Caenorhabditis elegans: one gene and its partner. The protein of the gene in region 1 interacts with the protein of each later gene in a pairwise test. Each region holds a gene or a part of one and is shown on either strand. Other genes may lie near its edges.

Region 1 (5,942 bases):
AATTTCCAGTCAAAATGTCACCTTTATTATCGCGATCCTGTGGATGCTTGTCCATTTGTTCTCTCTCCTCCAACTTTTTCACTTTTGCCTCTTCCAGTGTCTGCACCAATTCTCGTCCCAATAACAACTTTTGCGGGATGTGATGTTGAATGTTACCTCGATCGAAGAACAATGGTTCATCAGCCTGAAAATGGAGTAGTTAGTTGACCCTTATGACGGCTACTTTTTTCTCTCTTGTAGACTCATGTGAAAAGAAATACAGGGAGTAAGTAAAAATAGAAACAAGCAAGACCTTTGATCAAAAAGTTTGAAACAATTTGTTGATAAGAGAAAGTCAGACAGATAAGCAAAACAGTGGCAAATATTCAGGTGATTTATTTAAAGTGATATGTTTTCGTTTCAAATGGGAAAATATCTTGTGATTCTGAAACTACACAGAGAAAAATTGAAAGTGTGAAAAAATAGAACTATCTATGAAAAATATCCAATTTTGGAAATTGTTTGAATATTTGAAATTCTGATTATGTGGTGAATTATTTTAAACAACCATTTTTAAAATCACTTTCTTGAGGGAAATTATTATTGATAAAAATCTTTTTTTTTTCGAAAAAATCGAAAATTTTGCAATCAAAAATTTTCAAGTTTTCTAAATTTGTTTCTAAATTTTTCTGATGCTTTGGAAAATGGCTAGTTTTGTCTGAATTGACCGTTTTAGCATTAAAACAAATATTTCAAATTATTTTGGTCGATCCAGGCACTTCTATTCACTTTTCGAGGCTACAGAAAACAATGCCCAAAAATGTGGCTGGAAATTTAAAAAGTTAAAAAAATCCAGTTTTTAATGAAATTAAATTTAAATTAAAAAAAAAACGATACTTGTGGTTTATAATCATTAATTTTAAAACAAATTTGTTTTTCAGAAGTTTGAAAAAAAAAATTGGAAATCATTTTGATCTACTATTTTGCCAATTTTCCCTATTAGCCTTGCGCCGACATTGCTCCACTTTGACGACTTATGTCTTGGTTCACTTAGATTTTAACAAAAAATGATAAACTAATAAAATGTAGAGAATTATTTTGGGAGTACTTTGCCAGTTAATAATTTTTGATAAAATCAAAAAGAGCTGAGATATACGCTGTCAAAGTAAAGGAAAGTGCCTGGAAGTCTAGTAGAAAAAATACAATGAATGAAAGGTGACTAAAAGTCGCTGGAAAGTCAAAAAATATGGTCAAGTTAAGGATTAAAAAATCGCAAAATTTTCAGAATAATTCCAGATTACTGTAACGGGAGTACTGTGTACAACAAAAAGAAGCACAAACCTTCTGATTCCTGCTGAAATGTGCCGTCTCATTTTGCGAGTAATGCTCGATGGCTCCTCCCTGTAAAAAGTTGTGTGTAATTTTGTGTTGTAATACAAATATTCTCCAATCGTCGTCGTGTTCTCCCTTTCGATTTTTCGTTTATTTACAAAATATAAAAAGTAAGAGATGATCAGATTGGATGTTTCTGTTTCCCTTTTACCAGTGAATCAGCACCAGAAAATGTCAGGAGCACACAGGGGGGAGAAGGAGACAGTGTGCACAATCTTCTTCCATTTCTTTCCCTCCACCCACACCTCCGTCTTCACAGTTCCGAGACCCCGCCCTCACTCTTAGCTTCTGCATAATCCGTTGTCTCATTTGACACCCCCTACCATAAAAAAATACAATAATCATGACTCGCCATCAAACACATCTTCCATTTCATATTGTGTAAGTTATGTATTTATTTATTTTATTTATTTATTATTGTTTTTAGAGAGGGAGAGAGAGAGGGGAAACATATTTTCTTTTTCTTCTTCTCTAAATACAAAATCCCCGTTGCAAAATTCTGTTAGAGGCAAAGTTTTGAAAATAAAAGAGCTCTTTCCAGTCAAGAGGGAAATTCGATTGACAAGCCGCCATACAGTTACGTTGCACTTATTGCAATGGCAATCGATGCTTCGCCGGATAAGAGAATGACGTTGAATCAGATTTACAAGGTAACGGGAAGCTTTTCGATAACGTTTTTTTGGTATAGCGGTTTTGGAGGAATTATCATGAAAATTTTGCTAAAACTAAATACTTTTTTGCGGAAAAATACCATTTTAAAAACCCAAAACTGGTGCGGCAATTCAAATTTTGAAGAATTTTTGAGCAAATTTTTCACAATGTTAGCGGAATATTCCAGTTTTTTTTGGACGTCATATTGAGTATTAAAATATGTGCTAGAACTTTCAGTTATTCCTGCAAAAATAGATCTACGAAATTCAATTCCAAAACTTTAAAAATTACTTTTTTTCTGAGAATTTTTATCTCACTTTACACTAACTTCGAGGCTGCTGAAATTGTTCCAAATCCGATTTTTATCTTCTTTTAAGTTTTTCAGGTATAGGCAAACGTTTGAAAGATTTTTTTGTAAATTTCAATTATTTGAAAACTTGAATCATCGGAGTCTATTTAGTCATATAAAACTGATCAAGCCGAGCCATTTAATGAAACATTTTCTAGTTCAAAATGCTCCTTTGAAGCGAAAAATTTGGCGATCATCTTGTAATGACATATACTTCATTTAAAAATCCAGAAAAATATTCGTCACTTCTCCGGAGATTCTCCCTATATTTTTTGTACTTTAAATTGTTTTGAAATTACTAGAAAAGCCTCAAAATATCTGTTATTTTGGAGATTTTCTAACACGATTATATAGCAGTAAAATTAATCTGCTCCTTATTGCTACAAAAAAAACGAAATTCGAAAAAAAGTTCTTAAGGTTCTACATCATCTTTCCCATATCACATTTTCGTACAGTAAGTTTCATACATTGATATTTTTGTTGTGATATTCAGTTGGTTGCTTTTTTTTTCCACCTAGCCCTGCCCTACCGTAACCCTGTCACAAGTGATCTAGTAATGTTCAGTTCAATCTAACTCTGGAAAACCCAACTCACTAGCCAGCACATCTACCGTAACCCACCACTTCCACTCTTCCGTTTTGACTCATCAACCTTAATAGATCTGACTAATTTGGTGTGGGGGGCACCCTGTGCCTCTCCCATAACATTTACACAGTGAACAACTTTTCCTCTCTCCTACAAGTCAATAACAATGTCAATATATATATATATAGACCTTCTTCGTGTCAAGACCCAAAAACCTTAGTATTCAACTTTGACAGTTAATATCTCAGCTCTCGTTTGTCCTAAACAAAAATTGTCTACCAGCCAAATATTTTTTGGTTATTTTTCTATAGGTTTGTAGTTGATCATTCATTGATATCTTTATTATGAACCGAGATATAACCTTTCAAAGTATGTTAGTTTCCTATCAGGCGCAAACAAAACCGATGATGTGTGTTTCAGTTCATCGAGGCCAAATTCCCATATTACCGTGACGCGGACGCGAAACGAAAACAGGGATGGCAGAACAGTATTCGACACAATCTGTCACTCAACGACTGCTTTGTCAAAAAAGCACGAGACGGACAAAGCTGCGCGAACGACAGAAAGGGCAACTATTGGCAAATGGTGGCGGACAATGCGCCTCAGTTTGACAACGGCAACTTTAAGAGAAGGTATGGATAGTGACAAGAGGATTATTATTATTATACACTCGTGAAAAATGACTATTTGTTCATGTATTTACAGACGTGTCAAAAGACTTGGAATCGGAAAAATGGGTTATGCGAATACGACGGAAACTACTGAAACAGGGACCATTCTACAGCAACAGCTTCCGTTTTTCAACGGGTTGAAGTGGCCACAGAATATTCAAACTATGGATCCTTTCCAGTTTTTTAAGGTAAATAATTGCCCAGTGAAGATTTTCGGGAATCTGAACGCTAACGCCCCATGAAAAATTCGAACAGGCAACAAATTTACGAAATTGTACTAAAAATATTGGTGAATCTGTAGTAAGCTTATCGTTTAGCCCCAGAGTCCTTACTAGTTAGTTGTGAAATTTTCGTTACAACTCTTATAAAATGAAGCAAAGTTGCTTTATATTCCCAATTAAAAATAATTTTATTAATAATTGTTTTTCCAAAAAAAACTTTCATGAAAATACTCAAAACTCCGAGGAAACTGTGCCAATCTCAAAAAGATCTTAAAGAAATTAGCGAACTGTGCAAATATTTCACAAAGACAACTATGCCTGCTTGTAAATTTTAGATCATAGGCAGGCATAGGCAGAAAAATATAAAGTAGGTAAGTACGCCTGAAGGCGTGCCTGCCTACCAAAAAAGCCCAAAAAGTGGACTCCATGCCTTGGTCTACTTTGACAGCTTATATCTTGACTCCCTTTGTTGTTATCAAAAATTGTCAGTTGACAAAATATGGGCAAAATATTTCTCTACATTTAAATAATGACAATTATTTGATAAAATTTCAGGCAACCATGATATAAGCGGTCAAAATAGAGCACAATCGGGGTGCAGATCTAACACTTTCAATTTTTCAGTTCCAATACCCCAACTCCATCACTGATAGTGCCAACACCTCCCAAATCAACAACTCCTCTTCCTCATCGTCATCATTTGATACCTCAATTTACACAAGCGCCTTCCCAATTCCAACTTCTCATTTCGACACAAATCTAGTGGCTCCATCTCAACCACCACCAGTTGTGTCTGATGTAGAAGTTGTACCATCGGATACTGTCAAAGAGGAGGTTCTAGTTGATATGAAGCCATTGATCCCTGGGATTTCAAGTACAACATTCTTGACAAGTCTTCAGATGACTGATCCGAGGAGTATCGAGCAACAGGTTAGTTGAAATTTTCAAAAAATGTTTTAAATAAAGTTTATGCTACTTTTTTTTTAACTCTTGCAGCTTAATGGAGAAATTTTGAAGTCGGTAAAAATTATGCTATCTCCACTTTTTCTCCTATCTCCACTTTTTCTAAATTTTAGAATTTTCATAACTAATCAAAAACCCTCCTAAAACTTATTCCAGCAACTGCTCTCCACTGCAAGCAACATGTACCCAAACGCCTTCATGCCCCCTTATACCAATTGGTCCTGTCAACCAACAACCACTTTCACGGGATTATCATTTGATGACCCATCTCTCTATGGTTATGGACAACAATTCCCAGCTTCATCTTAACTTACCCCTGTCAACTGCCTGATCCTCGTTTCGCACTGTTTCAGTTCCTCCTGGAATAAATTTTTTGAAATATTTTGGTAATTAATTTCAGATTACCTTCAAGCTAGAATTTTCATCCGAATAATTATTCTTCACCTTCTCCTCCAAACCTTCAATTTTCTCTTTGAGACCCGCAATTTCTTGTTCATATTTTTCGATTGTTTTCTTCGAATTTTCATCGTTTTTATTGTTTTCTTTTTTTTGCTCTTTTGGCTCTTCTTTTAAAGTCTATAAAACATGAATTATGGTTTTAAAAAAATTTCAAATCTTACCTGACAATCCGTCAACTCCTTCTGGCACGTTTCTTGTTTTGTCTTCAACCCGTAAATTTCTGACTCTTTTAATTTAATTTTGCTTAAAAATTTGGTTGATTCGGCGTGGCGGGATTGTAATTCAGCCTCGATCTTCTTTTTGTGCAGCCAGATTACTGAAAGAAAAAAACAGTGATTTGACTTTTAAAGTGTTTTTTTTTCAGTTTTTTTTTAATGGCAGATCTACTCAATTTGGAGGGTTTTTCGAAGAAAAAAAATCACCGATATCAATTTTATTTATAAACTTAAGTTTATAGTACTTATTATTTCAAAAACTAATATTAATCGGAATTTAAAATTTACCAAATAAAAGTTGGCAAGAAAATCTAAGTCTCTGAGAACAAAATTTTGGTAAAATTTTGTCCAAAAAATTTGTAGTCTAAATTTGTAGTAAGTTCAAATTTTTTGAGATCAAACTGTGACCAATAATTAATTTTTTTCGAGAAAATTTTTCTGCGAGAAATTTAAAAAA
Region 2 (4,873 bases), on another chromosome or scaffold:
CACAACTGGGTTACTATGCGGTAAACAGGTAAATAGTTAACTGAATAGCGTGATCTATTCTACTACTGTTTAGGTATTCATCGCCTATTCCAACACGACAGATGGTTGCCACCTTGACTGGTCACGCAAGGGTCCCTCTGTCCCAGTGAGTTGTATACACCAATCTTCACACTCAAAAAATCAACAAAATGCGCGAATTTGCGCAGTAATTTGATCCGTCTCTTCCGTGCTTCTCCCCCTTTTTATGCTTCCTGGTCAACACGTTTTGATTTTTTTCTTTTCTTTTTTTCCGTCTTTGTCTCATTTCATTTCATCATCATTGCCCTTTCTCCTCCCCCTTCCCTTTTTTGTATAATATTCACTTTTTGTCCTTTGCTTAAAAGTCGTGGGGCAAGAGCAAAAAGTACAATGACCCGGAATAAAGGTATCAAATTGGTGAATAATTCAAAAGGAGCAGAAAAGAGAAAAGGGGAAAAGGTTGGAATTCTGAATAATATGCAAAATGGAAATCCTACATACATATAGAAACATACATCAAAATGTTGAATAAAAGAACAAACAATGTGTCAAGTCATGCGTGTAAATTCTCTCTTTACTGGACTTTTGTAGCTTTAAGGTATTAAGACAGTTGGAGGGGCTCATTGTGCAATACATTTTTGAATGAGATCATTTGGAATGAATTAGGTTTTCTTGTGAAAATCCACCCCCGTGTAATTTTCGAAATTGTTGTTTAGAAAAAAAACCATGAGACTACACTGCACTCAATTAGTATCTCGGTTGTTGTTTGTTCTATCGAAAAGGTTGTGTATTTTTATTATTTTTGATATATTCAAAACAAACTGAGATAAAATCCTTCAAAGTGAGACGAGATACTTATAAACCATTTTTCAGTTATAAAAATGTTCAAAAACTCACTTTTAGACATTGAGCGTGAAATTCCAGATTGGGATTGACCCTGAGGAAGTACCGATCTGATATTTCTGAAAATAAATAATTTTTTGGAATTTAGTCCCCGAAAGAGCTTACCCAATCGACAGCCGGCACAAACTGCCATCGGTGGTTGGTGCTGACGTTCTGAAAAATGAAAGCTCGATTAACTTTACTCTAACCCAAATTACCCGTCGACTTTGATTTGAAGATTACAGGGTTTGTGAGAGGAGGGGAGCTCAAGCTTTATTTAGGGAAAAGTAATAGAAAGAGGGGAGGGCCACGCGCACAAATGGATAATGATACCCAGTTAGGTGTCATGAAGGGGTTCATGGCTTCAAGAAAAAAGTGAAGAAAGGCAGGGAGAGCCTAACAAAACTCATAAAATAGCTCATTTGTGGGGTGTTTGGGGATGTTAGTAGCTGCCAAAACGTTTTTTATTTTATTTTTGCCCTCTTCTGTCAGCACTGTTTTGCCACGTCATTAATTTTATTGAGCTCCGTTTTTATTCGGAAGAATTTAAAGTCGACAGCTTCCTACTGTTTAAAAAATAACATATTAAAATGTTCTAATTTTAAAACTATAACAACTAAAGGTAGTCATTTCAAACTATTGATAATCCCCTTGTTCAACATTTGACATCTTATTTTAGGAAGTAAACTGGCCGTTGACAAACAAGAAGTAACAATCCCAAAAAAAGAAGGAAAGTTTACTTAATATAAGCAATTATAAACACCCCACCACTACAGTAATCATAATCGGAGCGGCGGCAAATAACTACTTATTTGGGAGGAGAGTGTTGCGATTTGAAATTAGAATTGAAAATTGACCTAGAGAAAAACTTTTTTTGAAGAAAATTAGGTTTTAAAAACTTTCGGAATACAAAACTGTGAAAAGTTAATTTTTATTAATATCATATATTTATTTGAAAACTTTCTAGGTTAAGTTTTCGAGGCCAAGAAAATCGAGAAAATCTGGTTGGGTTGTTGAAATCTTCAAACCGGATATGTACATGTGATGTGCATAAGGCGATTATAGCTTAGATCTTCATCGAAGGACCAGATGAAGTTATGCGTTTTTAAGACAACAAGAAGAAGGTGGAAAAGAAAAAAGTAAAAGAGGAGGGGGACAAATGGAATGAAAGAAATAGCGATTTTTGTTTTCTTTTAAACTTTCAGAACTTGATTGAACTAAGAGCTTTTTGATGGAGCCTCCCATTTGTTCCCCACCCCCATCATATCGTTTAATCAACAAAATATATTTTTGTGTGAGACCCCCCGATTCTTTTGTTTGCCAAACTGGTGAATAAGCAAGGTGTCATGGAAAAATGTGTAGCTCAAATGGGTTTTTTCTACCAAGAAATTTAGTAATGTTATATGACTTCAAAATTTTTTGGAAGTGAGCCCATTAAGTTCAGACACCTTTCGGAACTTTGCTCATTTATTCATTGGCTCATCCCTATAAGTAGTATGGGAAAAGAATCGGAAGAGCACCAGAGCTTCAGATAAAAAAGTTGCAAAATTCAGGGGAAAATAGACGGATATTTAAGGCTTAGAAGTGCGAATAATCTTTTTTTCCAGATTTTCTCCCTCTCCTTCTTTCGATTTTGTTATTGCAGGGATTTTGACATTTTAAGATTTATTTTTCAAGATTAAGTGGAGTTTGAGAGAAGGTGTTGTATTCTTAGATCTGTTAGATGTCTTTTCAAATGGAAATTTTATGAATCTAACTTAACTTTTGTTTTGAATTTTTTAAGCTGTGATTTTCAGAAAATTTACAAAAAAATTTTTTCCGGATGTAAATTCTTTGAAATATTTTGGCCCACGCTTAACATTTTCAAATTAAAAAAAAAACACTCACGTTCAACAGGAGAATCAAGGCACAAGTACTTGGTATCCGGTTCGTCTTTCCAAAATGATCCACCAATTTCGAGATCCGATGTTCCTGGAGATGTCAGTGAGAATTGCTCATAACCATTTCGCATACAGATGTTCATGCCGTTGAACAGATATAGAAGTTTGTGATTGATTACTAGATACACACAAACACAGATAGGACAGTTGGAAGTGTCACAAACGAAAAGAGAACCGAGAGCCCTGGGACCCACGGAGAGACAAGAAAGTGGGCGGAGTCATTGAGCGGGCGGACGACGAGCGACTGGTTGGTAGACTCCACCTACTAAGTGAGGAGAACGAAAGAAGTGAGAAGAAAACCAGCCGGATGTGAACACCCAAGTGATAGAATAAGAGTGTGAACATCCTGATTTTGTGGATATGGTAACCTATATTTCTTTTATTTGTAATTAATTGGATTAAAGCAGTTTTGTGTGAACTATTTGGATCATGAAAAAGTTTAAAAAATGACATTTCAAATGCCAAAAAAATTTTTGAGACAGTTAAATGTTACTGGCAAAATATATTCTATGAAATTACTCATCAAGATTGAAGTAATGAGCAAAAAATTATATTTAAACATTTAGAAAATTTCGAAATTTTTGAACAAAATTGTCTGCTCCTGAAAAAATTAAGAATTAAGGAAAGTAATGTGAGAAATTTGACCTCACTTTAGTTTCACAATTAAAGTTTCAAAATTAAATTACAAATCGCTTAGGACGTTTAAATTTCATAACCCTAGATTTTAGAGTTCAAAATCCATCCTATATTTTAGTCAAATTTTCTCGTACATTTTCAAATGTTTTTCTAGTTTCCTTTAGCTTCCATACTAATATCTCCGCGTACTACAGTTTAAGACAATAAACTCACAAAGTGTAGAACATCTTCAGAGTCTATAAATTATTCATGTAACTTTTCCAAAAAATGGCTGCAATACTGAAAAAATGTGGTATGTTTGCTTCGATCTTTAACACAATCATTTTTCTGATATTTAAATCAGAAACTGACTGGTTCTCTCAGAGGTTTAAAGTATTATGTTCATTGATGAATATTTTAAAAAATTGAGAAAAAAAATTGAAATCAGAAAACATGAGAATTCAACAAGATTATCCCTGGAAATATCTTCTTATCCGGATTCAACCTGACCCTCATTCTTCCTTTGGCTGGTGGACGCCATATTTTCCTTATTGAAAACTATCTAGAAACTAGAAATATGTTTTATTTTATTTTATTTTTGAGTCTCTCTTAGAGTTCATATCGATTGAAATATAGACTTGAAGTCCCAATTAGTCTTGCGTCCCTAATAGTATTGCACTTCTTCGTTAGTATTGCAAACTCTTCATTCTTTTAGTCAAAAAAATTGTACGAAAAGTGAATTTGCAGTTTCTATAGAGTTGCACTCTTAAATTAGCCGACACGTGGACATATGTATGTTTTAACTGATTCCCCCACTTCCTGTATACCTCAAAAGGTGTGAAATAACGAATGAAAAGATGAACATGCATGCGAGAGAAGGTGATAACGGACAAGTATTCGAGGATACTGTAGATTCCATCGATTGATAAGGATTTGAAAGATAAGATGATTAAATGGATGCTGGATTAATCCAGAATATTGGAAAATTTTTAGAACCGGGGAGAAATGTGAAAAATTTACAGCCATTTTTCAACTATTGTGGTGTAAGAGAAAACAAACTTTACAAGTTATATTTCATAGTTTATCGTATTCCATTTAAAAAAATATTTTTCCAAAACACGAAGAAATAGAAAGACCGAAATACAAAATTTTGTAATTTAAATTTTTTAATCTCGAAAATTTCTACATTTTGTACGAAAGTAAGTTTTGCAGTTTTTTGAACACTTCGAGAAAAGCTAGAAATCAATTTTCGCTAAAAAAAAAAGAGAAAACCGATAACTATGACTTACAAAAAAGATATATGCATATTGAAGAAAAAAACGTTATTCTCCAAAAGTCAATGATTTCCTGTTCAGATCACGCACAGTCTCACCTAAATATTGATTCTACGCGTGGTCATCTTCTCTCTCACTATTTTA

The links. Proteins that work in one complex are often made in the same cells at the same time.
Region 2: the proteins of fkh-6 (region 1) and lim-7 interact in a two-hybrid assay, tested with the Caenorhabditis elegans proteins (one large-scale study listed by BioGRID).

The regions. Positions count from the first base shown.
Region 1 is NC_003280.10:4,379,061-4,385,002, reverse strand, and holds fkh-6 (Forkhead transcription factor fkh-6), read left to right. Parts: upstream 1-1,596; 5' UTR 1,597-1,714; coding exon 1,715-1,752; intron 1,753-1,912; coding exon 1,913-2,021; intron 2,022-3,376; coding exon 3,377-3,588; intron 3,589-3,661; coding exon 3,662-3,815; intron 3,816-4,472; coding exon 4,473-4,778; intron 4,779-4,967; coding exon 4,968-5,120; 3' UTR 5,121-5,125; coding exon of another isoform or gene 5,126-5,170; 3' UTR 5,171-5,216; coding exon of another isoform or gene 5,217-5,387; 3' UTR 5,388-5,418; downstream 5,419-5,942. Other genes in the region: B0286.1 (uncharacterized protein), read right to left, coding at 22-184, 1,321-1,380, 5,126-5,170, 5,217-5,387, 5,432-5,586. UniProt on the Caenorhabditis elegans protein: Probable transcription factor. Binds to the DNA sequence motif 5'-[TA]TGTT[TG]T[TG][ATG]TT-3'.
Region 2 is NC_003279.8:5,714,726-5,719,598, reverse strand, and holds the start of lim-7 (LIM/homeobox protein lim-7), read right to left. Parts: upstream 3,026-4,873; 5' UTR 2,924-3,025; coding exon 2,788-2,923; intron 1,075-2,787; coding exon 1,027-1,074; intron 981-1,026; coding exon 916-980; intron 227-915; exon of another isoform or gene 77-226; intron 1-76. UniProt on the Caenorhabditis elegans protein: Probable DNA-binding transcriptional activator.